Linked DNA regions of Rhinolophus ferrumequinum. Each later gene encodes a partner of the first gene's protein in a complex. Links are inferred from orthologs where the notes say so. Each region holds a gene or a part of one and is shown on either strand. Other genes may lie near its edges.

Region 1 (7,010 bases):
AGACGATGTTTTGGGCTATGTTATCTGTCACCAAGGTGGTTACTGCACTTCACTGCTGATGACCACAAAGGCATGTCTTACCTGTAGAAAGGTCTGAATTAGAATTCTTTTTCTGGTCATGGTAAATTTCCTGTTTGGGATTTTTATAACATAAACATAGAACAGCGCACCTTCCAACTGTGTCTTTTCTGCAACTCTGTAGACTGCAGGCAGGGTGCATTCCTAGAGTGTAATCTCTTTCAGTGTTGAACAGACCTTGTCTTCCACACTCAACAAAGCAGGGAGGACAGGCGAGGAGACCTGGTCTGAGGGAAAAGAGGGGTCTCATTATCCCAGAGAATGTCGTTTCTTCATTTGGCATGGCTGAAGACCACCCCTGGAGAACACAACGTTACTGCACTGATTTGAGGCAAAAGAGGGCACCTATCAGAACAACCTGTTAACTAACACCACAGTGATTTTGAAAGAAGAGCCACTCCTGGAGGACTGCCTGATAGCCTGTGGAGGGTGTGGGGTGACTATTCCAAGGGGCACACAGGAAGACAGATGCCAGCTGCCACCCATAGCCTCTACAGAGCAGAGAGGACGGATAGGACACAAGCAGATGAGAGCAGATGTACGAGTCCTCACATGGCTCAAGCCCAAGGATTGGCAATGGGCCTTTGGTAGCTCAGAGCTCTGAAGTCCTGTGTGTGACATGACAGTCACCCAGATAGGAGCACATCAATGCCATCCTGGCAGCCCAATCTTTTGTGGTCCTGCAATTTAATATCAGTGAAAGAAGCCCTGTGTCAGCCAGCAAAAGTGATCTGATTGGTAGACTGCCTTCCTAGAAAGAGGATGCTCCATAGGCAAGAGTCTTGGAGCTATTCAGACATCTGGTCAACCCGTGGTAGAATGTGGAGGATGAGTAGAAGGCAGGGGCGGTGCACTGAAGGGAAGAAACAGGAACCAGGGACCACATGGCTCATGGTCCTGCCACCCCAGCAGTACCAGGCCCCAGAGAACTTAGAAAATTGGGAGGAAGATGCTCTGGAACATGTCTTGTGTGACCTAAGGGTGGTACTGTAGGAAGGCTCCTTCCAGTTCTGTGGTCCCATGAGTTTAAGGGACCACATGTGGTCTTCATGCCTTAGTTTACCCACTCTCAAAATGGCTGGGCTATTTTGAGATAATATAGTCAAACCTAGTTACAAACATATTTGAGGTCCAGGGTCCCTCCCATAAACTTCACGAATTCAGTAAAAATGAGCGCAGCCGTATGGTTTGTCTAGATGGCAGGTGCCCTCCTGCCCCTTGATGTTACCGTTTTTGTGGAGCCTTTGCAGTCCTTCGAGGGCTGGGCTAAGACTCATTGTCAGAAATTAAACTTCAATTCCACATCAACAAGCACAACCTAAGTTTTATTTGTAACGCTCAAACCCATTGCCTGAGAAGCGGCTGCCAAGTGGGCGTAAGGAGAGGTCCTGCCTCAGCCAAGACCTTCCCCTGAGCTGGACACATCTTCTTCTCAGTGCCAGGAAATCTGCAGGGCCGGAAGAGTGCTCAGGTTCTCTCTGGACAGCTGAATGGCCCTGTCAGAGAGAGGAAGCTGAAGGAAGCCCCCGCCCTGCAGGACAGAGATCTGCCTGGTGGAGAGTGGCGTCCCTGTGGACTGTTAAAGGTGGGTGGGGTCCCCACCAAGACTGCTCCAGGGGCCACCCCCACTCGTCCTCAAGGTCCGGCTCTGCCTGCTCCTGTCTCCAGGCGAGTCTTCCTGACCCTTGAGGTTAGACCAAGCTTCCTGTCATAGACTCATGTCACTCACAGCTGTTTTCCTTCCTAACAATTATTCCAGCTGCCAAGATATTATCTGTGCAATAATTGCTTAATTCTGACACCTCGCAAAGCTGTAGGCTTCATGAGGGTGGGGACGGTGCCTGATTCATTTTCAGTTGTCACCTCAGAGACAAATTTCTTTCTTGGCATGTGGTAGGTTTTCAATAAATAGTTGTTGAACAAATGAATGGATATGGTAGGAAAAGAATGGGTGATGGGGTCACACAGCTCTGGATTCACCATTTTCTTTCTGGGTGACATTTAACAAATGAACCTTTGTGGTCCTTGGTTTTCTCTCCCTACACAGTGGGGATAGTAAAATTTGTGTTGCAGATGTGGTGAGAAGATATATGCACCTGGCATGTAGCAGCTGCTCAATGAGTGCTAATCCTTTCTTCCTCTGTCTTAGAGTTGAGAATCTCTTCTTTTCCTTAGCACATTTCCTAAAGCAGGACTCACAGTTCAATGTGCCCCTTCTTCCATTGGCTTCTCAAACCACCTCAGCCTGGCCCCTCCCTCATCCTTCCCTGAGGCCCCAACTCAGCCTGCACCTCCATCCACTTCCTCTGGGCCTTTGGTGACCAATAAAGGGTTGGATGATTGATCAAGAATGCTTTGGGGGGGGACATTTCCGCACCAATGACTTGAAGCCATTATGACATTCAGGCCTTAACTCCTCACTTCTCAACCTCCCCAGTCCCCACCCTGGCTTCTGGAACACCTCCTCCTGCTTCTTGCACTGGCCCTTGGACCCCCTGCTGCGACTCCTTTGCCATCGCCAATCTCCCTAGTTTTTCCTCTTATCGTCTCTCCTGTTAACTCTCCTCCAATGAAACGTCTCCACCCGCAGGCCTTGGGTTATTCCTCAAGTGTCTGCCACCCACACCTGCGTCTCCGGCCCAAATCCGCCCTCTGAGCTTCAGAACTGTCCACTCACGTATTCACCACTGGATTGCAACAGAGGCTTCAGAAGAAAACCGTCTAAAATCAAACTCTTCACGTTCCTTCCTCAAAGCCCTGTGCCTCCCATGTGCCCCTTTTGGTTATTGGTTTCACCAGCCTCAGTCGCCGGATCTTGAGAACCCTTCTCCCCCTTTCCTCCTGCTTTCGTACCACAGTGTCACCACGAGAGCAAATCTTTGAATCAGAAGACCAGCATCATGTCACCCCTGCCACCCCGTGCTCAGACCTCTCCAGTCTCTCTTCTGAGGCCCCGACATCGACCTCCACGCGTGGTGTTCAGGCTCCAGCCAGCGTCTTTCCTTCCACATCACTCACATAACTCCCCAGGTTCGAGTGGCAGTCGGGTTTCATCTTGCACGTCAACTCTGATTCATGCAGTTTGGCCAAAGCTCTGTCCAGGGGACCCAGTGGGAAAGGCTGAGTCCCGTCATCATCCATGGGGCTAGGCCCAGGGAGCAGTGGCAATCTGGTTGCTCTCACTGCCCACCCTTCCAGCATCAGGGCCTGCTGGGGTCCCCCAACCAGCCCCACGCTTTCCCACCTCTTTGTTCCTCTCATATAAGCCACTACCTCTAAAAGCCTTTCTTCAGCTTCTAAGTCCAACTTAGTTTTCCTTCAAGGTTTGACTGAAAGGACATTTCTCCCCAAAACCTTCCCCAGCTTTAATGGAGTGTGGCTTCTCACGGTCTGAAAGCGTTTTGTTGGCACCTTTCCACTGGCTATACTAATGGAACTGTCAGAATGGGGCAGAATGTCATCTAACCGTCAACCAGCTAAATCACAAGTCTCTAGAAGGTGCGTTTGCTGGGTTGTTGTTTCTCCCTGCGGCTCTCAGGGGCCTCACATCGCTGTTTGGACAACTGCTAAGCCTCTCAAGGCCATAGGGTCACAGGTGTCCCAGGCCACCTGGGCATGCACATTCTCGGGGTCTCTCTGACAGACACCCCAAGGGGACTCGGTCAGAGGCTGGGTGGCTGGCCTCAGCCATCACACATCTGGACAGAGACACATCGCACTCCCACGTGGGACGCTCCTACATCCGGTAAACGCAGGCCCAGCTTGGGGGGACTCAGTAAATGTGTAACTCAGCCATGTACCAGCTCGTTCTGTTCAACAGCAAAGTGTGCGTCGATCATCCTGACCTCCTGGCAGTAGTCCCAGCGTGACAGTCCCTCTGGCGTCCGTCCCCCAGTCAGCCCTGGCCGCCTGAGGCCCCACCCCCATTGGTGATATAACCCCCTCTCCAGCTTGGGCACAGGACAGTCTGGGAACGGCTCCATCCCCACCCCTCAGATATAAATAGGGCCTCAGTGGCCCAGCCAGAGGAAGAGGCCACCCTTCTCGTGGGGACTGAAGCAGAAGGTAAGCGGGGAGCCCCTCCCCACACCACCCTTCCCTGCCCCTGCCCCCTCCTGTCTCTCTCTAGGCAGCTGAGTTGTCTGCTGGGCTTAGAAAGCCGGGGTGCTCTGTGGGAAGGGGGGGAAGGGCTGCTGGAAGGCGGTGGCTAAAGGGCACCCAGGAGCCAGAAGTCAGGGGACAGTGGTGACCTGTGCCACAGGGGACCTTACTACTGAAGCCTCAGAAGATGCCGCTCGCCTCCCATCGGGCCAGACGTCTAGCCCTGGGCTGTCTTCCATTTGGCCCCCCGGGTCCTTCCAGGGGACCTGCTCGTCCTCAGCAGCAGGCAGCGTGGCTGGGTCCTCCCGCTCCCTCTGAGTAGGGCTGGGTCCTCCCGGAAGCAGGGTCTTGGTGGCCAAGAGCCCACCGAGTCCTTCTTCAGTCAGAAGGGGCTGCGAGGCTGGCTGTGCAGGTAGTGGGGCTGGGGGAGGGGCAGGCTCTGGGTCCCCCAGGACGCAGGTGAGGGGTGGCCCACATTTCCGTGGGCGCAAGGCTTGGGTCTGTGCAGTCAAGGTCATCACTGTCTCCCTGAGCCTCAATTTGCTCATCCATAAGATGGGACAAATAACCATGCCTGGCCTCCCTTGCTCATGGCCTGTGGTGTAAATTAAGAGAGCCAATACAACGTGAAAATGCTTTCTAAAATTTCAGATAAACGAAAAATGTACATTCTTATTATTTTATTCAAGAGGAAATTTAAATCAGTGCTTAAGTGGGCGGGCAGCAGCTTCGGGGGTCTTTGTTTAAATCCTAGCTCTGTCTCTTACTAGCTGCGTGACCTTGAGCAAGTCACTGAACCTCTCTGTTCCTTTGTACAACAACACTGACAAATTCATTTAACAACTACTTATCAAGTAGCTAGTAGGTCCCAGGCATTTTTTGGAGAACAAAACAGAGCTAAAAGCCTGCTTTCATAAGGTTTGCTTTCACATAGGCGGAGATAGGAAATGAACACGATAATAAACAGACAAATGAAATGAATACACGATCCGGAGTGTTCCGAGGTGATCCAGGGCTATGGGAAAAGTCGAGTAGGGCAGGATAAAAGGGCTCAGAGTGCCAGGCGTCGGGGGACAGTTGCAGTGTGGAACATGGTGTCAGGGATGCCTCAGCAGGAAGGGTTGTTGTGAAGATTAGGTGAGCTGATACGTGACAAGCCTGGAATCGTGCCTGGCAATAAGCATCGTGTGTTAGCTGCCACCCTCACCATTTTCTTTACGCCACCGAGCCACAAGGAGGAGGGACCCCGAGAATGAGGGGCTGGTGAGAGGGAGCCCAAGGAGGGGTGAGGCAGGCGCGGGCAGCAAACCCACCCTTCTGGGAGCGCTCACCGCCCTGCACTGCCAGCTTATTCTCAGGCCCCGCTGTGTGCTGACTGAGAGCCAGCCGGGCGGCAGCTGACCACAACTGAGAGCAAACAGCAGCCCTGCCTTGAAAACGATCCATGAGATTGCTTCACCTGACTGCCTGTGCCCTGCGGTGGGGCTGAGTGGAGCGGGGCTTGTTTACCTGCACGGCCCACACCTGGGCCGGTGGGCACCTGTTCCTGCAGGCTCCCCAGCTCTCAGGCCCACAGCTTTCCCCTGATGACTCTGCCCTGACTGGACCTTTTACATGAGGCCTGTGTAGACAGAAAGGCACATTCCCACTATTATAAACGTTATACAAAACAAAAAATCAAAACCCAGCCCAAAATAAAACCTTACAAAAGCACGCCTCAGCCCATAACCGTGTGCTTTGCACATGGGTCATATAAACGTGTTCTGTGGAGTGGGAGTCCATTTTTTTTCACTGAAATGTGTAGACGTGGATGGATTTCTCCTGGGCTACATGGTTGCAGGGAGTCGTAGAACCACTGAAACTGGCGAGAGAGCACTTAATCACCTTTCACCCTTCATAAAACATTCCAGGTGCGAGGAAGCGAGCTCCCCCATCAGAGATGACTCTTGCCAGCGTGAGCCTGAGGGCCGCCGTCCTTTGTCTCCTGGCCTGCGCTGGCCTGGCTGCTGGAGACCGGGTGTACATACACCCCTTCCACATGCTCGTCTACAGCAAGAGCAGCTGTGACCAGCTGGAGAAGCCCACGGCAGAGACGCCCAAGGACCCGACCTTCACACCTGCCCCGATTCAGGCCAAGACGTCCCCAGTGGACGAGGAGGCCCTGTGGAGACAGCTGGTGCTGGCCGCCCAGAAGCTCGACGGTGAAGACAGGACGAGGGCTGCCGTGCTGGGGATGCTGGTCAACTTCATGGGTTTCCGCATGTACAAGACGCTGAGCGAGACGTGGAGCGCAGCCACAGGCGCCGTGCTCTCCCCACCGGCTCTCTTTGGCACCCTGGCCTCCTTCTACCTAGGAGCCTTGGACCCCACGGCCAACGGACTGCAGGCGTTCCTGGGCGTGCCCGGGGAGGATCAGAGCTGCACCTCCCGGCTGGATGGTCACAAGGTCCTCTCTACCCTGCAGACCATCCAGGGCCTGCTGGTGGCCCAGGGCGGAGCGAGCCGCCAGCCCAAACTGCTCCTGTCCACGGTGGTGGGCCTGTTCACTGCCCCCGGCCTGCGCCTGAAGCAGTCGTTTGTGCAGGGCCTGGCTCCCTTCGCCCCCGTCACCCTCCCGCGCTCTCTAGACTTGTCCACGGACCCAGATCTCGCTGTGGAGAAGATCACCAGGTTCATGCAGGCTGTGACGGGGTGGGAAATGAACAGCCCCCCGACGGGGGTCAGCCCAGACAGCACCCTGCTCTTCCACACCTACGTCCACTTCCAAGGTAAGGCCAGCCCTCCGGGGGGGCTCTGCCCCCAGGCCAGTGCCAAAGGGCAGCAGTTCTCTG
Region 2 (7,382 bases), on another chromosome or scaffold:
GGGAAGGGAGAGAGAGGGTGGGTGGTCACTCACCCTTACTGGCCATGATAGGTCCCAATCTCGTGAGGGCTGTTGGTGGGCAAGGAGACAACATCACTCTTAAGCCACTCTCCTGTGATTCCTGACCTACTGTCCATCAGCAGAGGGCCTCAAGGTAGAGGGAAGTGACGTTCTGGGGCAGGTACCCACCGCCTCAGCAGCTGGGCTCACATACAACACAGGATACAGGATATAACATGGGAGATGCAAGTGTCCACTCTGCCACTTACCAGCTATAAATTAAGACATGTTACTTATCCACCTTGGTCTTGATTTCCTCCTGTGTTGCAAGGATACTGGCCCACTCACCTCCTAGGGCTGACGTGGACATTGGGAGAAGACCCTACTCCATTTAGGCCCTCGCTTTTTGCCTTGGACCTTCTCCCTGCTCCCACTAACTTGCCACTGTCATTCCTGGACTTGCACGCAGGTCCTGCCCTGTCATGTGTTAAAGACCATGACTTCTTGCTTATGGCCTTCCTCCACCTCATGCCTTCCCCAATTCTCCTGGACGACATCACCATCCACATAGATGGTGACCCGGCCAGCACCCTGGCTCCTCAGTTCCCTGAGTGCCATCTTTCTGGTGACTTCACCCCTACTCTGCTTCAGCCACCACCCCACATCCTACTCTGGATTTTTCATCACTTATAATTGTTCCACTTCCCAAGAGGCTATCTCAAATGTCCCACTCTCGATGAGCTCTCTGCACTCCACTTTATGCTTCCACTATTCCCACCACCACTGCTCTTTCTTCTCACCCATCCATGGTCCTCCGCTTCCTTCAAGCTCACCCATCCTGTCCTGTCTTGACTTCTCTCCCACAGTCCATCATTCAATAACATTATTGCTAGAACACTAAGTCCCTCATCTTTGATCCACATCTGGCATCACCCCAGCCCTGTATGACACCAGCCACACAGTTTCCCTGCATCTTTCCCTGCTGAGTTTCCCAAGCAGCCAAACACTGTGGTGGTGGTGGTAGGAGAGCCCGAGAACAGGGTGAAATGACTGCCTGTAAAGTCATGATCTCCAGCCACTAAATGTCTTAATTCTTCCCAGAAATCCTCTTAGTATCCCTGGTCAGCTTCTTTCCACCTTCCACTTTCCATAATTATTTTAAACCTTCTCAATTTTCCTCATGCCTCCAAAACCCCTCCCACCCCAATTCTCAGCAGAAGTCCTTGCTTCCTACTTGTCCAAGAAGATAAGTCACCAGACAGAAAGTCCTTTGGATACAATACCAAGCAGATAAACTATACATACCACACGTGTCCTTCCCACGTTCCCCACTCCTGTTCCAGTGTGTACCACCCATGTGCCTCTGCCCTCTTAGGAATCCTACTGCATTGTTTATCCCTTCCTTTCAACAGAGTACTTTGTATGCCTCTCAGTATAGTAAGCTCCCTCCCATCATCAGAAATAGAGGGAGGGATAGAGGGAGAGGGAGAGAGAAAGAGAGAGAGAGAGAGAGAGAGAGAGAGAGAGAGAGAGAGAGAATGAGAGAGAGAGAGAGAGAGAGAGAGAGAGAGAGAGAGAGAGAATGAGAGAGAGAGAGAGAGAGAGAGAGAGAGAGAGAGAGAGAGAGAGGATGGGGAAAGGAGAAGAGAAGTAATGGGAAGAGAAAAGAAAGGAGGAAAGAAAGGAGGGGAGGAAGAAAGGAAGAAGAGAAAAACCCTCATTCCCCTCCAGCTTTCACCCTCTTCACCCTTTGTTATAGCCCACCTTCTCAAAATAGCTGCTGTACTATACTACCTTCATCTCCCTACTTCCCATTGTTCTTCGACCTATTCCTCTCTGAAGTCCCGTCCCTCTGCATTACCCAAACAGTTCTGCTAAGAGTACCTATGGATGCATGTCTACATTTTAACTGCATCTTACCTGCCCTGGTGGGTAAGACCACCACGGCTCACCATCCCTCCTTACCACTCTCCTCCTTTGATTCAGGAACACCTATGGGTTTCCTCTTGCCTTCTGACCTCTCCTCTTCGGTGTCCTCTTCAGATTCTTCCTCCACTACTGGTCCATTAAAGTTTGAAGTCTTGGGCCTTCTTGCTCTCTACCCTCTTCCCTGGATACTTTCATTCACACCTGTGGCATCAATTACCACTTGCAAATAACACATAAATCTTTCACCCAGGTCCATATGTGCACCTGTCATTTAATGTCATCCCTGAGACATCTCAAAAAAACCCTACACTCAACAGGTCCCCACTCATCCATCTTCCCTTTAGGAATCCTGGTTCTCTTACACTGTACCCCATGTTTTACCAGGCATCCAGAAACCTCCCTCTCCCTCACTCCTCATATCCAACTCATTACCCAATCCTGCAGACTGTATTTCCTAAATTTCTCTCAACCCCATCCAATCTTCTCTATCTCCACCATGCCCACCTCCCCTGGTCCAAGCTAGCTCTAGTTCCATGTCTTCTTAACTGGTATAAGTCACATGATTCTGGACCATTCCCAAGTCCTTGCTAGCTCACACTGTAGCCAGAGTGTCTTTGCAAACATATATAATTACATCATCATTCCCTCCTTAACCTGTTTACCCACTGTTCTTAGAGTAAACATAGCATGGAGTTCAAGAACTCGTATGGTTTGGCACTCAAGTCAGCTATGTAACGAGTTCTGGGTCATACTGCCTAAATTCATAGCCTGTCTTCATCACTTATTGTCAGTGTGACCCTGGGCAAGTTACTTTCTGAATCCTCCTGTATCTCAGTTTCCTCACCTGTAAAATGGAGTAATGATGGTACTACCTCATACGGTTGTTGTGAGAGTTAAATGCACTTAGAATGGTGCCTGACATACGAGTATATAACTAAGCATTCAACAAATGTTAGATCTTCTCATCCTTTGCCTCCCCAGTCCCATCTCTCACCCCACTCCTTCTCATCTCTGTTTTGCCACATTGGCTTTTCTTTAGGCCCTTATTGTCACCTTGTTCCCTCTCTCCTCAGGACTTTGGCACGTGCTATTCCCACTGGAACTCTTTTCTCTCCCTCTTCAGTTATTCATTGCCTGCCTGTGCAGCCTTCAGATAGATCTTCTGCAGAAACCTCCCCAAGACCCTGAAGGCTGCCCTTCCCTCCCAACAACACTAGGTCAAGAGAGGATGGGGACAGCCCCTGACCCTAGGCCCCGGCTCACTGAGGGCGAGGTACGAGGTGTGACAATTAAGTTCATGAACTTGTTGCAACAATGTTGCTAACCTTTTTTGATATCAGAGGGATTATTCATTATGAATTTGTACCAACTGGACAAACAGTTAACCAAGTTTACTATTTGGAAGGGCTGAAAAGGCTGCATGAAAATGTTAGACGACCTGAACATTTTGCCAACAATTCATGGCTCTTGCGTTAAGACAACACACCAGCTCACACGGCACTGTCTGTGAGGGAGTTTTTAGCCAGTAAACAAATAACGGTATTGGAACACCCTCCCTACTCACCTGATCTGGCCCCCAATGACTTCTTTCTTTACCTGAAGATGCAGGAAATACTGAAAGGAACACATGTTGATGGCATTCGGGACACCGAGAATAATATGACAACAGCTCTGATGGCCATTCCAGAAAAAGAGTTCCAAAATTGCTTTGAAGGGTGGACTAGGCACTGGCGTTGGTGCATAGCTTCCCAAGGAGAGTATGTCAAAGGTGATTAGTGATATTCAGCAATGAGGTAGGTAGCACTTTTTCTAGGATGAGTTTGCAAACTTAATTGTCGGAACTTGTGCACTTTCCCATAAATGGCTGCCACTGACAGAGGCCTGGAAGGTGGCAGCATTGAGGCCCCAGGTCTCGCTTTATTAGGGGACAAACCAGGAGGAGTCACCCATGTTCCAGATGGGAACACTGAGATGCATTCTGGGAGAAGCCAGTTGGGGCCACAGCCAAGGTTAATATAGAGGATAGCACCTCAAGGGCATGGGAGTGAAGGCTGTCTGGGAGTTGGAAACCCAGTTGCTATGCCTGTCTCAGCCCTGACCTTGCTCCTGAGCAGTGCTATTTCTCATCAGCCTCTGTTCCCTCTGGGAGTCACAGGGCCAGGCCGAGATGGGGCTGCTGGCGTCACGGGGCAGAGAATTGCATTCCCGCAGCCCTCCTTCCTCTAGTTCCTTGGGTCCATACGGAAACCTGGTCACCCTTCACCCACCTAGCTTGGTCTTATTACTGGTTGCCTTGCCATCTGACTCAAGGTAATAAATCTCTGCCCCAGGGAGAGCACAACTACCACCATTCTGAGTGTGGAGTGTATAAAAGCAGAAAGGTTCTGGGAGCCATAAGGCTTCGGTGGATCCCAGAGAGCCGGGACCCAGGAGAAGCATGGATGGATGGAGCAGAATGCCTCGCTGGGGACTCCTGCTGGTGCTCTGGGGCTCCTGCATCTTCAGTAGCCCCGCCGACACTGGCGCCTTCAGACGGTAACTCTAACTCGGGCAAAGGAAAGCGGCAGGGGTGCAGGGCTTCCCACTTTCCTAACACTCCTGACTCTCAGATATGTGATGTCACCCAGTCCTCATGACCAGCTGAGCAGGGAGCTATGGTCCCATTCAGAGAGGTAAGGTGACTCCCCCAATAGTGGCACTAATCAGGCTTGAAAGCCAAGTGTTTTGACCCCTGCCTGGAGCTTTTGCGTCCTGCATAGCTTACCATGCTAGGCACTGTGGGGGAACTCAGAGGTGATTAAGATATTCTCCATGCCTTCTAGGAGCTCATCACCTAATAATTAGGAAGGATGTGGTATGGTTGAGTCTACTAGGGAAGAAACATGATATAGTACATAAACGTAAGGCTACTAGAGCTGAATTGTCTTGGTTTAAATTCTGCTCCACTAACAGAACTAACTAGCTCTGGAACCAGGGTTAAGTTACTTAACTTCTCCAGGTCTCAGTTTACCATTTTTAAAACAGGGGTAATAACAGGACCTACTTCACTAGAGCTTCTTTGAAGATTTAGTGCGATAACACTAGTAAAAGCACGGTGCCAGCATTCTGTCAAAACCCAGTTGTCATAGCACTACAGGGTGGTTAGTCACAAATGTTAAAAGAAAGGCTTAAGGCAGCCCAAAGGAGGGAGGAGAAAGACCTAACTCACATCTATATGTGGTGCCAGGCCCTGTGGGAACAAGCAATTCATTAAGGCTGCAGAGGGGAGGGCAGGGAGGGACAGGGCCTCGTGGAGAAAGGGGTTTCTGTTTAGGGGTGCAGATGGATCAGAAGACCTATAGGTCAGAAGGCAGGTTTAACTAACAGTAATAGTTGCTAAGCCTGTAAAATGCTTAAAGTTTCACAGGATCTTTTCACATATCTCATCTCAAATCATCCTTCTAACAGTCCTATTTTACAAATGACACCGAGGCTCAGGGAGGTCACATGTAGAGGCTAAGCCTCAACATACACTGGGCCTTTTGTTTCCAAAGCCTCTTCCCCTGCTCCAAGGCTCCCAGGAGAGAACTGCTGGCTTGGCAGTGTGGGGTGAGAAGCTGAGGGTATCCCAGCTGCACATGCCTGGGTGCAGCCCCACACCCAGGGTAAAGGCAGAGCAAGGTAAACCATTCTCCCTTGTTCTCTTCAAAAATAGAAGAGTGGGATGGGGCCAGGAGTGGAGAGGGAGTCAGGATTCTGAAACACAGCTATAAGGATTTTGCTACCAGCTATGGGCTGAGCGAGCGTCATGCCAGACACTTTGGGAGATATGAACACAGGACCCCATTCTCAAGGAGCCTTCACGGTCTTTTATATACACAGTTATATTTATTGAGCAGTGGACAGCTGGTTTAATCTGCACAGTGATTCTCTGAGGTAGGTACTATAATTAAGCCTGTTTTACAGAGTTCAGGGGGCCTCGGACAAGGCCCAGAGAGCTTAGGTAAGTTGCTCAGAATCACACAGGGAGTAAGGGATTCAAGCATGTCCCCACCACCATGCCCTCCCGGCCAGACATCACCACCTCTGTGAGCATTCCGCTGTGTAGTGCTGGCTGTGAGCACCCAGAGAACATGAAGCAAGAGCCTAAGCAAAGGTGAGGCCAGTGTGAACTGGAGTTCATGGGCAAGCGTCCTGGTGGTGGGGGTGCATGCTGGGCTTCGAAGGACGAAAGACTTGGGGGAGGGGAGGAAAGAAAGGGACTTTCTGAAAGGAGAATGGTAAAAGCAAAGGCCCATAGTAGAGGCTGTTCAGAGTAAATGATGGAAAATGCACTGTCTTTGGAATCTGCTTCTCCATTTTCCCATCTGTAAAACGGGAATAATAAAATTACCCCCCCCATGGGATGACTGAGAATCGAATAAGATCATAATTGCAAAAATACTTTTTGCAATAGTGAACTGTGATATGAATATGACAAGTCACTCCCATTAAAATATTACACTGACAGACATGAAATATGACTTCCATATGAAATATAAAAGTGTATTCATATTCATGGGTATAATGGGGTACATAGAATGGAGCGGTGTGAGAAGGAAAGGAGAGTACAAGTACAGGAGACCCGGCAGCTGAGAAGAAAGAGGGATTCTCCATAAATTGGACTGCAATCCTGGGACCCTCCCCACACCAACAGCTAGAGACATCTTCCTCCAGGCTTCGGTACAAAGCCTTCATGTCAGAGTACAAGAACCCTATATGGGAAATAGGGTCAGACACCCTGCTTTGAGTCCCTGATCCATCACTTCTGAGTCACCTCACCATCACTTCTGTGAACCTCCATTTCCTCATCATAAAGTGAGTACAACGCTAGTTTGCAATGCTGTCATGAGGGTTACATGGGGGCATGGCAACTCAGTATGCAGTGAGTTTCTCCAATTCCTAATTCTGCCTCCCAAAGGTGGTAGGAAGGCAGACAAGGAGCCAAGGGACTTGGGATTAGGCTCAGGAAGGCACATCTTTCCAAGGACAGGGTGCACAGGCACTCTCGGGATACTGGCCTCTCTCCCTGCCCCATCCAGGTCAGTTGGTCCACTCCACCCCACAGCCCTGGCTGGGTGCCTGCCCCAGGGAATCCCGGAGCCCCTTAGGCTGCTTTAGGCATCTGCTGCCATCTTCAGTCCTCATGTGGCACTGCCTCCTCCTGTCCAGCCAGCCTTGAGGGGGCATTCCCAGCCTTCTTCCCATTAGAGGGGTTATCATTGAGTGTTTCCTCCTCTGTCCCATCCCTGATGGAGCTCTTTGAAGCAGTGATGACCTTTATCTTTATATCTTTATATCTCTAGTCTCCAGTTTGGTGCAGGCACAGAAGAGGTGTTCAACATGTGATTATGGAATGGATGAATTAATCAACCAATGAATGAACAGATGGCCTTGCAGTGATCAAAATTAGACAACAGGAGGAAGGTAGTTGA
Region 3 (7,279 bases), on another chromosome or scaffold:
GAGATGAAGCTGCGTTTTCCAGGTCAGTTGATGTCTTTTACATGTGTGGCTCTGTCCTAAATATTCTCTCACATGATCGTTGTCAACCTTCATTTATTTATTTGTTTTTTTTAACGAGAGGAACTTTTGTTCTCTGGATCAAAACATAGGCATGTATTTATAAATAGATAAACCCATGGAAAGGCTGCTTTGGTTGAGATGGGGCTGGAGGTGCTTGGTTTTTCTGCGGTCAAGAGACGAACAGTCAAAGGAACACAAACATTTTGTTCACCGGCAGAAAGGTCCCACCCCAAAGAGAGCCTGCAGGTGACTCCATCCCCAGAATCACGCCAGATGCAGCAGTGATTCCCAAAGTGGGTGCATCTCTACAAGATGATTTTAGGGGCTATCCAGATGAATAGTTTTGAAATCAGTAGTCATGAATTGAAACGTGTGTCGGAAAAAATATGACATAACACATCCAACCATGATTGATTGCGTAGTCATGATTCCTCAGAAGGAGAGTAAGGAGTGAATTGATGTAAAGAAAAATATTAAGTAAATCACGTATAGGAGGCTCACAGAGGTGGTTTGTGGATGCAGTCTAGGACCCCAAGAAGGAGAGTGGGGGGATAGAGGGGAAACCTGACCTCAGTGAGATTCCAGGGGCTTAATGACAGAGTTCCATCTTTAACCACTGTCTCTCATTTCCGTGATGCGTCCATTCCACAAGCTGTGTTACCCGCTGGCTGTGCACTAGGTGCTTGTCTGGGGAGGAGGGCACGGTGCTCATGATGCTCAGTCTCCGGGGTGCTGGGGGCAGGGCTGTCCTGGGATGGCATCCCCGAAGTGAACCTCCGGGAAGAGTGGGTGGTAGGTGACGGAAAGCCAGAAGTGTACCAGGCCCAAAGAGCAGCTTGTGTGGGGCCACTGATGGGGGCAGAGCCTGGTGGGCTTGAGGAATCACGAGAGGCCAGGGAGGCAGAGGAGAAAGTGCAGTAGGGCAGACGACAGGAGATGAGACCAGAGAATCACAGGGAGGCTGGATCACGCCGCACCTATAAGCCATGGCGAGGATTGTAGATGTTGTCATTCATTCAACCATCGTTTATTGGGCTCCTGACCTGTACTAGTGTACAAAGTCACAGAGCCTTCCCTTGGGATGCCGAGGTCCAGTGGCAGGCTTTGAACATGTAGATGGCCTTTTCATAAGTGCTGTGACAGAGGCATGAACCAGAGGCCAGGGACGCACAGAAGGGCTGCCTGTACAGAAGGGCAGTGACATATGAGCTGGGTTTTGAAGGATGAGTAGGAGTTTGACAGGAGGGAGAGGAAAGACATTCCTGGTGGCCGAAACAGGATGAGCAAAGGCACGGAGATATGAAAAAACCCAGAGGGTGTGAGGAAATGCCAGCAGTTGGAGCCACAGGGGGCTTTGGAAATAGAGGCCAGAGGGTCAGGCTCACAGAAGGTCTTGAGGCTCAAGCCAGAATTGAGGTTTTATTCCACGGGCAGTGAGGAGCCAGAGACCAGGCTTGAGCAGGAGAGGAAGATCCCTCTGCCAAAGTGTGTGGCAGGGTTGGGTGACAGGGCAGGACAGCACTGCCACCACTTCCTGGTGGGGTGTGGAGGTGGCCAACGCTGGGCTACAGCAGGGGGCGGAAGGAAGGGGCCCTATTCTGTGTTACAGAGGTGGGGGCTGTGGAGCATACCCCTCTCTGCGCCCCCAGCATGGGCTGGCCTGGTGTCCAGAGCAGGGACCTATTACAGGGCAAATGGGCCCTTTCCAAAAGAGTAAGATTCCAGCCAGCTGGGCCTGTGGTCCATGTCCAAAGCAAACAGGAAGAGACCACTGTGGGCCAGGCGGGGCCTCTTTCTTTGTTTGGAAAAGGGATTAGGCCAAGTGGATTTGTGGGTCTTTCTGCTGCAAAGGTGGGAGGGGGCTGCAGGCCTCCTCCGGGACATGGTGAAACACAATTCAGGGGGATGCATGGGTCCTGGGTGCCAGCCTTCAGGGGTACTATAAAGATGGCCTCCCTTGGCAAATTCTAACCCTGATGGACGGAACTGGGAGCACATGCTACATTACCATTGTGTGTCACTGTTCTTTCTTTCACCATGTCCAAGTTGCAGCCCTGCTCTGGGCACTTGGCTTCCTGCTAGTGTCCCTTGGCCATCAGTCCAGGCCTGGCAGGGGTGGCTGCTGGCCACTGAAGTGGACAGTCCACACTGCCCAGACCACAGCACCAGGGGCAGGTCTCCAGAGGGAGAGAAGGAAATGCTGGGGGCTCAGAGTACATTCCATCTGAAAGATGGGCACCCAGGATTCCCATGAAGACCCAGCACTCAGCCCCTGGCCTCTGCTGGCCAGGTGACAGTTGGCAGTCCTTCCCTCTTGCAGTTATGCCTGAATGAATTCATCGCTGGGTGCATTCCATTTTTTTATGCAGGCTCGGGGGTGGCAGGCCCAAGCCAGGCAGGGAGTGGCAGATGAATGAGGTCCTCAAGGAGCTGATGAGGTGGCGGAGCAGACTGATGCAAGTCTTGAGATGCATTTGGCCTCCACAAGGGTCCTACCTGTGTGCCCCGGATGGAGGAAGGCTGAGAGAAGACGGCAAGAGTAAGGGCAGGGACAGAACTGGAGATGGCCTAGAAAGACTCCCATAAGGCGAGACTCCTGAATTGACGCATTCATTCATTGGCCCATTCATGCATGTGTGCGTTCCCTCAACAAGTAGGTATTGAGCACCTACTACGTGCCAGGCATGTGTCGAGTGCTGGCGAGCAGAAGCAGCCAAGGCACTGCTCTCACGGGGCCTCCAGTCCATGAGTGAGACGGGCAGGACTTAAGGCATCAACCACACAGATGAGATGGGGAACTTGCTGAGTTACAGGGCTTCAAAAAAGAGGTTTGCGGCGCTAATGGAGCTCACAGGGGCTTGACCTGGGCCGGGACGTCACGCATCTTCTCTGAGAAAGACTTGCGGGGTGAATAGGAATTAACCAAGACAAGAAGGGAGAGAAGATGGCCCAGGCAGAGGGAACAGCACGTGCAAAGGTCCTGTGGTGAAGGGGCTGGATGAACACCAGAGAGGTTGGAGAACCAAAACAGAGGGGAGCGTGGTGAGAATGAGGCTGGACCGTGGGCAGGCTGATAGCACCCGAACTGGTCAGTCCCTTTAGAATATTTGCTGTGGTTCCAAGACAAAGAGGAAGGTTTTCAGCAGTAGTAGAAAATCATGATCCAATTTATGGGGTGAACAGGTTTGAGGGGGCCTGAGTGCAAGTGGGGAGTCCACGAGGGTACAGCGGTGTCCACAGAAACAATGAGAATGGCTTTGACCAAGGACATGGTGAGATCGGGGTGTGGGGGGATTGGATGTGGGGGTCAGGGCCAGGTCTGAAAAACTGGGCTGGTGGATGGAAAGGTAATAACGAACATTGCTTTACACGAAGAACGTATTTTATTGAGTACGATAAGGAATATCTTCATTTTTACCAAGTATAGGAAAAGAGGCAGTCGATGAACTCGGAGTATGAAGCGGGGGTGATTTTTAGGTTCTACTGTTTGGCGTTTAATATGTTTTCTCATTAAATCTGTCCAACAAACCTCAGCGGTGAACACTATTCTTGTTTAAGAGGAAAGAGATCTCAGGAAGATAAAGCTACCTGCCCAAGGTCACGGCTGGGAAAAGGTTAAGCCTCCACCAGGCTCCTCTCTTGAAAAGGCAAAACAACTTATTGTTTTCTACTCAGTGAGCTGATAATTGAGGAAAACCATTTATTGGCAGGAAGGGCAAGGGAGGGACACCTGGGAGCCCGGTCTGCTCTGGAGGAATGCAGGGGAGGCTGGGAGCGCGTCACTGAGGAACCCAGGCATCTTTCCAGCATCCGACCACAGGGGAGACCCAGTGTGTTCTTGACCCAGAAACTGACCCTCCCTTCTCTGCGTCTCCCACCTCTTGCTGTAGGAAGTCCTTCCCTGACTCTAACCCCGATCCTCCTGCTTCTGCCCCACTGCCTCAATGTGCACACAGCTCAGTGCCACCTGCCCGCTACCCTACCCTCTGGGCCCAGGCTGCCCCCTACCCTTCCGCCCTTGGTTGGGCAGGCTCCAGGGCAGCCTGCAGCCTATAACCAGACACTGTTTGCTCCCGGCAGGTGCACTATTCCTGGATCTCTTCTCCGGAGCCTGGGCAAAGCACACCCCTGCCCAGTCCAGTGACCTCCGGCTGTCTGAGGCCGGGTTAATTTTTGCCTAGTCTGCGGGCTGTGGGCTCCTCCCCTCCGGGATATAAGCCTGGCCCCAGGCGGCCCTGTTCCCTGCCTGCCCTGAGCCTCCCCCAGCTCCCTCTCCACCCTCACCATGGCCAAGCCCCACGTCGTCCTGGGCATACTGCTGGGCCTGGCAGCCGTGAGCACCATTATTGCTCTGTCGGTGCTGTACTCGCAGGAGAAGAACAAGAACGCCGAGAGCTCTCCTGGTGTGGTCCCCACCAGCCCCGCCACTACCGTGAGCACCACCTTGGACCAGAGCAAGCCGTGGAACCGGTACCGCCTCCCCCGGACCCTGGTGCCTGAGTCTTACAACGTAAAGCTGCAGCCTTTCCTCACCCCCGACAACAATGGCCTGTACATCTTCAAGGGCTGGAGCACCGTCCGCTTTACCTGCAAGGAGCCCACCAATCTCATCATCATCCATAGCAAGAAGCTCAACTACACCACCCCCAACGGGCACAGGGTGACCCTGCGGGGTGTGGGGGGCTCCCAGCCCCCCACCATCGACAGGACCGAGCTGGTAGAGCTCACCGAGTACCTGGTGGTGCATCTTAACGGCGAGCTGCAGGCGGGCAGCATGTACGAGATGGACAGTGAGTTTGTGGGCGAGTTGGCCGATGACCTGGCAGGCTTCTACCGCAGCGAGTACATGGATGGCAATGTCAAAAAGTAAGTGGGACCTGCGTCTGCCCGGTGGGGGCACGTCCTCAGTGCTGAGGAAGAGCTAAGGCCGAGGACGGCCTTGGCTTTGATGCCTTGGAAACTTCTGGAGCCTTTGGCTGGCTCATTGCTCCAAACACAGCTCTGGTGGAGCAACTACTGAGACCACAAAGCCTTTCCCTGAGGGCCTCCTTACCCCACATTAGGGAGTCAGGGATAAGTGATGAAAGTGCCCTTTGGATAGCTAGGAAAACTGAGGCTCCGAGGAGAGAAATTGCCCTCAGTCTCCTAGGTAACAGGGATGGAGCCTGCCAGGACTTTGACCCTGAGTCCATAAGGTTATGCCAGAGTCTGCTGGCCTGTTGGGAACCAGAGGCTGCCTGTGGGAGATGGGGAGGCCAGGGATTAAGCCAGAGCATCCTTCCGTGTACCCCTTCCCCTGCACCCCCAGCAGCCCCCCAAAGTCCTCTTCCTCCCCCCACGGGTGCAGGCATTGTGCCGGCACCCCTCTAACACCTGGTTTGGGCAGGGTGCTGGCCACGACGCAGATGCAGTCTGCAGATGCCCGGAAATCCTTCCCATGCTTCGACGAACCGGCCATGAAGGCGACATTTAACATCACTCTCATCTACCCCCGTAACCTCACAGCCCTGTCCAACATGCTGCCCAAAGGTGAGCGGGTCTGTCCGGGGGCCACACAGCCCTGGGAAGCCAGCACCCAAGGGCTGGGGTGCAGGGTTGGAGAAAGGGTGCATGCCTGCATGCCTGAGTGCTCCATTCCCAGGCCCCAGTGTCCCGTTCCTGAATGACTCCACCTGGAGCGTCACCGAGTTCCACACCACGCCTGTCATGTCCACGTACCTGCTGGCCTACATCGTTAGTGAGTTCACAAGTGTGGAGCAGAAGGCGCCTAATGACGTGTTGGTACGAAGCTGCACCTCCTTGCCCTTCCCCAGCCTTGGCCGGGCCGGAGGGATAGTCCTGTGTCTTCTCATCCCTGTCCTAGCCACTGATTGTGGCCAGTGTTTGAATCCCAGTTCTGAGTCCTCTTAGCTGAGTTCTCTGACCCTCAGTCTCTGCATCTGAAAAATGGGTCTGTCCTCATGAAGGGAGTTCCCGACTCAGGGCTGCCAGACAGATGGTGGCTCTGACTGCTGTTTTTCCCCAGAGGCTCCTACCTGGGACTGAAAGCCCCTCAGAGGCCCCCAGCCCTCTCTTCTGTGACCAGACCTCCCAGTTTGACCTCGTCCAGGCCTGGAGACTCCGCCCACCTGCACCAGGACCCCAGAGGGGGCCCCTGGTTGACCTCCATCCTTTTCGTAGATACGGATCTGGGCTCGACCTAGTGCAACCGCGGCAGGTCACGGCATGTATGCCCTGAACAAGACAGGCCCCATCCTCAGCTTCTTCGCTCAACATTATAACACAGCCTACCCACTTGAGAAATCCGGTGAGTGTAGGGCCCGCCGTGGGGGGCAGCAGAGGGGGCCCCGCACCCAGAGGCCATCCTGCCCACTGCCTGGCTTCCCCAGACCAGATCGGCTTGCCCGACTTCAACGCTGGCGCCATGGAGAACTGGGGGTTGGTGACGTACCGGGAGAACTCCCTGCTGTTTGACCCGCAGTCCTCGTCCAGCAGCAACAAGGAGCGCGTGGTCACCGTTATTGCTCACGAGCTGGCGCACCAGGTACCCCCCATAGGGAGTGCAGAGAAGGACACGGGAGGCTGAGAGGTGATGGCACAGGTCCCGTCTCTGCCCTCGGCAGCGGGCAAGGTAGCAGGGGCAGTCACAATGGCAGAGAAGCGCTGAGCCTAGGTCTGGCATGTTTGCACACTCGGGAAGGGTCCCTCTGGGTGCTTTTAGTGACTGCAAGGCCAGAGTAGCTGGCCGGGCTAACCCCCCTCCCCTACAGTGGTTTGGGAACCTGGTGACCGTGGCCTGGTGGAATGACTTGTGGCTGAATGAGGGCTTTGCCTCCTACGTGGAGTACCTGGGTGCTGACTATGCAGAACCCACCTGGAACCTGGTGAGCCAGCTGTGCAGGGGCCCTGGGATCTGCAGGCCGGGCAGGGGCGGGGGAAGCCGTGGGTGCCCCCTTGCAGGCCAGTCTACTGACGGCTGCCGGGGATTCGCAGAAAGACCTCATAGTGCAGAACGAGCTGTACCGCGTGATGGCCGTGGACGCGCTGGCCTCCTCCCACCCGCTGTCCGCCCCGGCCTCGGAGGTCAACACGCCAGCCCAGATCAGCGAGATGTTCGACTCCATCTCGTACAGCAAGGTGCTGCCATCTCAGTGGGGGTCGTGGGGAGGGAGGGGGGGACCTGGCCCCCAGGGGCCCCATGGAGCCCCTGTCCCGGCCC
Region 4 (7,687 bases), on another chromosome or scaffold:
TCCCACTGAAAGTAAGAGACCCTGTGTGCCTGGGAGCACCTGCCTGCTCTCTCTCATGGCTTCTTGGTCCTCCTGCCTCCCTCCACTGCCCTGGTCCTTTCCCTTCCTCTGCCCCAGCCACTCCCCCCTCTCCCCAGCCCATCCTGGTGGTCCAGAGTGCCCTCTCCAGGGTGGTTCAGTGGGATAGATGACTGCCTGGTGGCAGGGTTTTGGGGACCTCTTGGGCAGTAAGGCCCTTCTGCTCCCCTGGCAGGTGGAAAACGAGTCCAACGTGCTGCAGGATGGCTCCCTCATCGACCTATGTGGGGCCACGCTGCTGTGGCGCACACCGGCGGGGCTGCTGCGGGCACCCACGCTGAAGCAGCTGGAGGCCCAGCGGCAGGAGGCGAACGCGGCGCGGCCCCAGTGCCCTGTGGGCCTCAGCACCCTGGCTTTCCCCAGTCCGGCCCGTGGCCGCACGGCACCAGACAAGCAGCAGCCCTGGGTCTATGTTCGTTGCGGCCACGTCCATGGCTACCACGGTTGGGGCTGCCGGCGAGAGCGGGGTCCCCAGGAGCGAGAGTGTCCTCTCTGCCGCCTCGTGGGGCCCTATGTGCCCTTGTGGCTCGGTCAGGAGGCCGGCCTCTGCCTGGACCCCGGGCCGCCCAGCCACGCCTTTGCACCCTGCGGCCATGTCTGCTCCGAGAAGACTGCCCGCTACTGGGCCCAGACACCACTGCCCCATGGCACCCACGCTTTCCATGCCGCCTGCCCCTTTTGTGGGGCCTGGCTCACCGGTGAGCATGGCTGCGTCCGCCTCATTTTCCAGGGGCCACTGGACTAAGCTGCCTGGGGACCCCTGCTGCTGCGCCCGCCTGCCCACCTAGGTCCCCCACTTCCTGCAGCCCAGAGGGAGCTCTGCATGTGGGACTCTACCTGCTGGCACAAAGCTACACCAGATGGACGTGTTGGATGGGCTGTGCCCCTCCCCTTTTAACTCTGGTCCCCAAGGGGGTCCCCAAGATCCTTACCCAAGTCAAAATGATGGAGCTCTGTCCTGGGCTGACGGAGGGAAGCCCACCCCCATGCCCTGGCCCTTCTTGGGGCATTTCACATCATGCCGCCTACACTGTGCCCCTGGGGGAGTGAAAGGGCCGTAGGCCCCTGACCCCCAGCTTAGGCCGGCTGTACCCTGAGCCTGCCAACCCAGTTCTAGACATTCACCCTGCTGCTGCCCTGGGTTCCTCTATAAACCTTGCTACTCAGCTGCCCTCACCAATCCCATGTGTCCCGCATGTGTGCAATGCCTCCAGCCCTAGTGAATGACAGGTGGGTGGAAGACTGCGACCGGCATCTGCTGATACCCACTATGGGCTGGAGTCCACGCCAAGGGGGCTCTGGGGACACCGAGACAATCAGATCTGGTTCCCTGCCTGGTAGAGTCCACAGTTTAGTGGATGACAGACCAAATTACTGAATGACAGCACAGCTTCCTACGTGCCAGGGTCAGAATTAGAGGCTATGGAGCAGGCCTTCCTGGTGGGTGGAAACATGAGGGAGGCTTCACCGAGGAGGTGGCGTAGGAGCTCAGCTAAATGGCTACATTGGAACCCCCCACAGGAAGGGGAGGATGCAATAGGCAGAAGGGAGCAGTGGAGCACAGGCTCTGAGGTAAGTAAGCGGGAACTGAGTGAGGGATTCAGAGTGGCCGGAGCAGGGGCTGCAGGGGAACAGGAAGGAGGCTGGAGCCAGAGGTTGGGGCTGTGCTGATGGGGAAGATGCTGGATAGAGGATTCAGAACCTCATTTTGGACAGTGAGGACCCAAGGGAGGGAAGAGGACTCACAGTTCCAGAGCGTTGGCTGTGACACGAGGATCACCATTCCCGAATGCCCACCATGTGCCCTGCACTGTGCTAATGGTAATAATAACTACATTCATTGAGCACCCACCAGGCACCAGGCTCTGCTTCTCGGAGGTTTGGTTATTTAATCCTCACAGGAAACCAGGGAGGGACGTGTTACCATTTCTGTTTATGGGGAGATTAAGGCACATGCTGCAAGCCACACAGCTAGACAGTGACCGAGCCAGATTCACAGCTATGGCTGCCTGCCTGGCCTTGAAGACGGCCCTCTTCTCCATCACACTGTGCTGCTTTCCTTGAATGAAAGGGAGGAGTTGGGAGGGCAGTCTAGATAAGGGGAACAGTGTGGGCAAAGGTGTGGCAGGAAAAATGCTTGATGACCAAAGAGCCAAGTGTGGAGATGTTGGGCTGGGGCCTGGCGGGCGTTGGTTGCCATGGAGGCCAAGTCTGAATTGAATCCCTATTCATCTTGGCTAAGTGTCTCCTCTGAGAGTCAAGGTGAGCTCGGGGTGCTGCTCAGGTTGCCCTCAAGCCATTTCTAGGGGGAGTGGGCTAGGAAGAAAGGTCGAGGTTCTGGAGACATCAAAATCTGAAGAGACTCTGAATACAAGCCTGACCTGGGCAACACCCTCAGTGGAAGACAGCTGCCTTAGGGAGTACGATTCCTAGGGGAGGGGCCTGCCCCGGGCCACACAACTGGTTGGGGCCCAGAGACCAGACCTGGGGCTGTTGAGAGGGCACCTGTCAGTAGTGAGAGGAGGATGTAATCAGATTCTTGCTTCCAGAGCACAGCCTTACACTGCCACAGTGGGGGAGCCGAGCTGGGGGTCCTGGGGAGGGTGTGGGAGCATGGCAACTCCTACACACATGTACACACACTCACAGAGCACCAGCAATCCAACTCTGCCCAGTGGTTCTCTCTTCTGACCTGGTTGGGAACCAGACGGGAACATTCCACCCCATTTCTAGGAGGGAACCTCAGACTCTACAAGAGAGATGAGAAGGCATAGGCACCACCCCGGGGAGAACTTAGATGGTTGTGGAGGGAGTCAGACTGCCCTGGTCTTGGCCCAGCTTTGTCCCTTTCCGGCTCCTGGAGCCTCAGTGTCCTCAGCTGTTAAATGGAATAATAGTCCTGTCACCAGGTGGTTGTGAATTATGGAGGACACCTGTAACACAGTAGGTACTTAATATTATTTCCTCACCTACTTCTTCATTCCCATGGGGAACAGCCAAAGCCATGACTGTAGTGAGTGGACTGCTCCATGTGATACCATGTATGTGTGTGTGTGTTGGGGCAGGTGGAGGGAACAGTGTGGTGGAAAGTCTGAGGAAGGCTAGACCCTAGTTCAAGGACACCTGAGGACATGCTGGGTGGCGTTATGGAAGTCGATGAACTTATTAGCCTCAATTTCCCCATCTGTACAATGGGTAGAATGATGATATCCTATCTCAGGGTTTTTGCAAGAATAAAATGAGAGCCTACATGTCAAGCTACTAGCACAGGACCACAGTAAGGCTCAGATTAGCTGTAATCAGAAAAATGCAGCCTGGATGGGGCTCCCAGGAGTACTGGGATCTTGCTGGCCTGAGCTGCCCACTGGTGGCCGTGGACAGCACTGCCTCCTTTACTGGTGTCCATTTCAACTTCACCCAAGTCAGGGAAGACTTTATACCCAATTTAAAGACAATGAAAGTTGAGGCACAGGGAAGAGGGGTGACTTTCCTAAGGAATCATCATCAGAGCTAATAGTAGCACTGTTGAGCCAAGTGGGGCTTGGGAACCTTTGTGAATGAGAAACACGCTCATGGTGGGCAGATGCTGCTCTGGGTCTAGATGCAGGTGTGGCAAAGGCTGGCAAGGAGGGTGTGTGGATTTCAGGTATCCCTTTATCCCCGCACCCCTCTCTGTACAACACTAGGGGGCAGCACTGCCCAGTCAACACTTCTTTCGAGCCTACAACATCCCTGGGAGTGGAGACAATTATTAGTCCCGTTTTTCTGCTCAGAAAGCCAAGACTCAGGTAATGTGACCCATCCAAGGACACACAGCCAGTAGGACGTGGAGGCCTGATTCGACTTTAGATGGCCTGACTCCGCCCCCCACTCTGACTTGGGACTCTCACAATGCTCCCCACTTGGCCTGGCTGGGCGCCGTGCCCCACCCAGGATGTCCTTCTGGGAGACCATCCAAACATTCAAGGGTGGACCTCCGGCCCGTTTCTGCCCTGCGCAGCCTTTCTGGATGGCAGGCGTCTTTCTCATCCAGTAGGCACCCGATAAGCACTAAGAAACTGCCAGGCCCCTCGCCTCTTTGTGCTGAAAAACACTGAGTCTCAGAGATGTTCAGCGGCTGCCGCCAAGTCCGGCTTCCTTTCCTCCCCACCCCCCTCCCTCCCCCGCAGCCCATGGTGATTTGGTGGTGGTGCAGGCACGGGTGGAACCATCAGCCCCGGCAGGAGTCCGCTCGCCTGTAACCTCGATTCCCAGCACAGATCGCTTTGCAGTCTCCAAAGAGTCTCCACTTCCTGGCTCTTGAATCCAGTGAGGAAGTGGGAGACACATCATTCCCATTGCGCGGGTTCCCACCTGCAAAACTGAAGTCGGGCGACTGGGAAAACCCCCAAAGGAGAGTCGTGGGTGTGTATGTGGAGGGAAATTGTGGTACTCTGTCCATGACACCCATGCCACCCCTCCCGGACTCAGGGGACCTTGTCAGCCCTGTCTGCCGGGACTAGGCCGCGGCCAGGCCGGCCACGCAGGTTCCCGCCCCCGGGCGACCGCTGCCAGTGGACAAAAGGCCAAGGCTGTAGGGGCCATACCGCATGCGAACCAGTAGCGCCTGAAGGCGGGGAGCGGGAGGACCGGCGGAGCTCGCTTCGGAGCGCCTATTGGCTGGAACCGACGCCCATTCGGGCCCCGAGGCCGGACAATTGGCCGGTGGGGGCGGAGTTAGAGGAGCCCCAATGAATGGGGGAGCCGGAAGCAGGAAGTGAGTTTGCGATCGGAGCAGTTGCTGCAGGTGAGGCACGGCGCTCGGGTTTCAGGGTCACAGTATGTCCTCCTCGGGGACAGGGCGAGTCTGGACCGAGCGCAAGAGCATTCCCTTTCTGCCCCCCATCTAGTACCCCTTCTAAAGTCATCGCGGCCCCGAGGTTGAGGAATGCTTTGCGGGCAGCAAAGGGTTAACACCCCTTTCAGAACCCGGGGATTATGCTGTTGGGGCGGAGCCTCGGGAGTGGCGGGGGGATACTGGAAACACATTCCCAGTAAGGGGGGACGCTGTGGAGAATGCCCTGGGTTGGGAGACCCGTAGTACCCACCGGGACCGTGAGACCTTCGTTAAGTTGCTTGGTCTCACTAAGCCTCAGCCTTCCTATCTGTAAAGTGAGTTTTCTTCCACCTCTGAACTTCTGTGGCTCTGTAGCTCCCCTGGCCCGAGCACAGGGAGAGGGTCGGAGGATGAGGACAGACACAAAGGCAGTTATAGGGATAAGAGTGGGACAGATCCGGGAACAGTAAGAGGAAAAGAGCAGGAGGAAAATCATTTACTGCTGTAGATACATTCCATCCGGTGTGACCTCATCTAATTTGCACACCCACACCCACATGGTGAGGTTGGGATTATCACCCCCATTTTACAGAGGCAAAAACTGAGGTGCAGAAAAGGGAAACAACTTGATTTTATAATAGGAGTCTGGGGCTGAGTGAGGATTGGAACCTGGATCTTGCTGCTGGTAGCCTGGGAATCTATCCTTGTGACCACCCACTGTGGTGCGTGGAATTGAAGAACCTGCAGGAGAATTTTGAAGGGGAGGCTAGTAGGTCAGAGAAAGAGGTGGGGAGCCAGAGCGGGACCTGGGCTGGGAGTCTGGAGATGCAGGTCTCTACTTCTGACCCTTCCCTTGTGTTATTAGGCAAAGCTCCTAGCCTTACTGGGCTTCAGTTTCCCAATCCGTAAGACTAGTTAGTTGGATTCCATCTTTTAGGTTGAGGGGCCACAGGCCAAATATGGCCCACCAATGTATTTTGTCATCTCCTTGGGTGAGTCACCTGATCTCTGAGCCTCAGTTAGCATATCTGGTTAATGGGTACAATGGTACTCCCTTCCTCATGGGCTTTTGGGAGGATTACATGAGATCACGAGAGTGCAGAGCCAGGTGTGCGGTTGGTTTGGGGTAAATGATGGCCATGATGATGGTGATGGTTCTCAGCAGGGCCCATGGCGGACACCCAGTACATCCTGCCCAATGACATCGGCGTGTCTAGCCTGGACTGCCGCGAGGCCTTTCGCCTGCTGTCACCCACAGAGCGCCTCTATGCCCACCACCTATCACGGGCTGCCTGGTATGGAGGCCTGGCTGTGCTGTTGCAGACCTCCCCTGAGGCCCCCTACATCTATGCCCTGCTCAGCCGCCTCTTCCATGCCCAGGACCCTGACCAGCTGCGCCAGCATGCCCTGGCTGAAGGCCTTACCGAGGAGGAGTATCAGGTCAGTTCTCTCAGGCCAACGTGCATTTCTTGAGTGGTTTCTGGGTGTGAGGAACCAGGAAGCTGGGTTACAAAGTTCTTTCTCTCTCATTGGATTAAACCAAAAATTACAAATACTGGAACCTCCCCTCCCGGAGCTTCAGTCTTCTTATCTGCAAAATACGCATGAGGGTAATCTCTACCTCTTAGGGTTGTGGTGACCCGACTCCAAGATAAATGGTGGCTGCCGTGATTATAACGAGGGCTTTGAGTAAAGGAAACAGCTGTGGAGATTCAGAGACGGTAGAGGAATGAGGCCAGAGTAGGAATCAGGAGGTCTATTTTCTGAACCACGTCTTCCTTTACCATGTTTTGTGTCCCTGGGCAGAATATTCCGTCCCCTGGTTATTGTTTGTTTGTGGATCTGTTGGCCAAGTAATACAGGAGTGCATTCATAATGCATTACAACAATGCAGAAGGACATAAAACAATAGGTGGAGATCATTTCATTCTTATGCCCTTCTCAGAGGTAACCACTAAGGATGGCGGGCAGACAGCCTTTTCAGCCCTCTGTATTCTATACCTCCACATGTGCACGTGCATGTGTCGGTTCCTTATTTTCTCTTTTGCATAAATGCAATCACACTCTCCATGTTCCTATGAGTCCTTTTTCAGTCCTGCTTTTTCCACTGAACGCCATGTCTTGGAGAACCTCTTTGGGGTACATATTAGTTCACCTCATTTTTATTGGCTGTGAAGTGTTCCCACACAGTGTACGCTAAAATTAATCTTTTCTTTATTGCTGGACATTTAATTGTTCCCAGTTCTTTTTAAATTCTTTAAAAATTTCTTTTTCCTTTTTTTGTTTGTTTTGGTTTTTATTATTTTTTTCTTTTGTTCCTGGTTCTTACAAACAGCACCACAATGAGCATACTTGTGCACATGTGTGAGTAGGATCTATTTCTAGAAGGACAATTGTTGGGTCAAAGGCTCTGTACATTTACACTTAATTAGTGTTGTTAAATCTTCTGAAAAAGCTTCACCAAGAATGTATGAGAATATGGCCTATTTTTCTATATGTAAAATAAAGGGATTGGATTGCTTATCTCTAAGCTGAGGCCCAGGCTGTTTCTTCTACCTTGTTTGAACTTTGTGTATTCACATCCCATCTCTGGGCCTTGATTTCCTCTTTAAAAATGCTAAAAGCTGAGGAAGTGCTTATAAATGGAAAAGTGCTACGTAAGTATTACTATTTTCAGAAGGATTCTTTTGTTTGTCGGTAACAGAAACCCACCTCAAATTGGCATAATGTAAAAAACTCATAACTTCCAGTGTCTGGTCCGGCATGTAAGGAAAGAGCTTAGAAGTTGCCAGT

Evidence for each region.
Region 2: the proteins of AGT (region 1) and REN are in contact, whole or in part, in a crystal structure (PDB 6I3F), measured with the Homo sapiens proteins. The link is inferred for Rhinolophus ferrumequinum from reciprocal best matches to the Homo sapiens genes AGT and REN. Residues at the interface, in NP_001369746.2 of Homo sapiens: Asp25, Tyr28, Ile29, His30, Pro31, Phe32, His33, Leu34, Val35, Ile36, His37, Asn38, Glu39, Lys91, Leu92, Ala95, Met96, Met99, Leu100, Phe103, Arg107, Arg148, Ala151, Ile152, Gly154, Gln353, Gln354, Asn355, Asn358, Glu391; in NP_000528.1 of Homo sapiens: Tyr81, Met82, Thr84, Gln85, Val102, Asp104, Gly106, Ser107, Asn109, Ser118, Arg119, Leu120, Tyr121, Thr122, Val125, Tyr126, Leu147, Arg148, Tyr149, Ser150, Pro181, Ala182, Leu183, Pro184, Met186, Leu187, Ala188, Glu189, Phe190, Val193.
Region 3: the proteins of AGT (region 1) and ANPEP are in contact, whole or in part, in a crystal structure (PDB 4FYS), measured with the Homo sapiens proteins. The link is inferred for Rhinolophus ferrumequinum from reciprocal best matches to the Homo sapiens genes AGT and ANPEP. Residues at the interface, in NP_001369746.2 of Homo sapiens: Val27, Tyr28, Ile29, His30, Pro31, Phe32; in NP_001141.2 of Homo sapiens: Gln211, Gln213, Ala351, Gly352, Ala353, Met354, Glu355, Arg381, Val385, His388, Glu389, His392, Glu411, Glu418, Asn438, Arg442, Phe472, Tyr477, Ile864, Phe896, Ser897, Asn900, Gln903, Ala904, Arg907.
Region 4: the proteins of AGT (region 1) and DPP3 are in contact, whole or in part, in a crystal structure (PDB 5E2Q), measured with the Homo sapiens proteins. The link is inferred for Rhinolophus ferrumequinum from reciprocal best matches to the Homo sapiens genes AGT and DPP3. Residues at the interface, in NP_001369746.2 of Homo sapiens: Asp25, Arg26, Val27, Tyr28, Ile29, His30, Pro31, Phe32; in NP_005691.2 of Homo sapiens: Phe109, Glu316, Tyr318, Glu329, Phe381, Gly385, Ile386, Pro387, Ala388, Gly389, Ile390, Asn391, Ile392, Asn394, Arg399, Val412, Leu413, Val415, Ala416, Phe443, Val447, His450, His455, Glu507, Glu508, Asn545, Arg548, Leu552, Glu555, Phe556.

Annotation. Positions count from the first base shown.
Region 1 is NC_046310.1:26,049,811-26,056,820, forward strand, and holds the start of AGT (angiotensinogen), read left to right. Parts: upstream 1-4,005; 5' UTR 4,006-4,143; intron 4,144-6,089; 5' UTR 6,090-6,118; coding exon 6,119-6,947; intron 6,948-7,010. UniProt on the Homo sapiens protein: Essential component of the renin-angiotensin system (RAS), a potent regulator of blood pressure, body fluid and electrolyte homeostasis.
Region 2 is NC_046305.1:26,930,516-26,937,897, forward strand, and holds the start of REN (renin), read left to right. Parts: upstream 1-4,366; coding exon 4,367-4,464; intron 4,465-7,382. UniProt on the Homo sapiens protein: Renin is a highly specific endopeptidase, whose only known function is to generate angiotensin I from angiotensinogen in the plasma, initiating a cascade of reactions that produce an elevation of blood pressure and increased sodium retention by the kidney.
Region 3 is NC_046311.1:4,305,811-4,313,089, forward strand, and holds the start of ANPEP (aminopeptidase N), read left to right. Parts: upstream 1-4,277; 5' UTR 4,278-4,345; coding exon 4,346-4,926; intron 4,927-5,446; coding exon 5,447-5,589; intron 5,590-5,701; coding exon 5,702-5,841; intron 5,842-6,240; coding exon 6,241-6,367; intron 6,368-6,449; coding exon 6,450-6,604; intron 6,605-6,830; coding exon 6,831-6,944; intron 6,945-7,053; coding exon 7,054-7,197; intron 7,198-7,279. UniProt on the Homo sapiens protein: Broad specificity aminopeptidase which plays a role in the final digestion of peptides generated from hydrolysis of proteins by gastric and pancreatic proteases.
Region 4 is NC_046294.1:5,506,206-5,513,892, reverse strand, and holds the start of DPP3 (dipeptidyl peptidase 3), read left to right. Parts: upstream 1-4,687; 5' UTR 4,688-4,812; coding exon 4,813-4,864; intron 4,865-6,056; coding exon 6,057-6,334; intron 6,335-7,687. Other genes in the region: PELI3 (E3 ubiquitin-protein ligase pellino homolog 3), read left to right, coding at 254-823. UniProt on the Homo sapiens protein: Cleaves and degrades bioactive peptides, including angiotensin, Leu-enkephalin and Met-enkephalin. Also cleaves Arg-Arg-beta-naphthylamide (in vitro).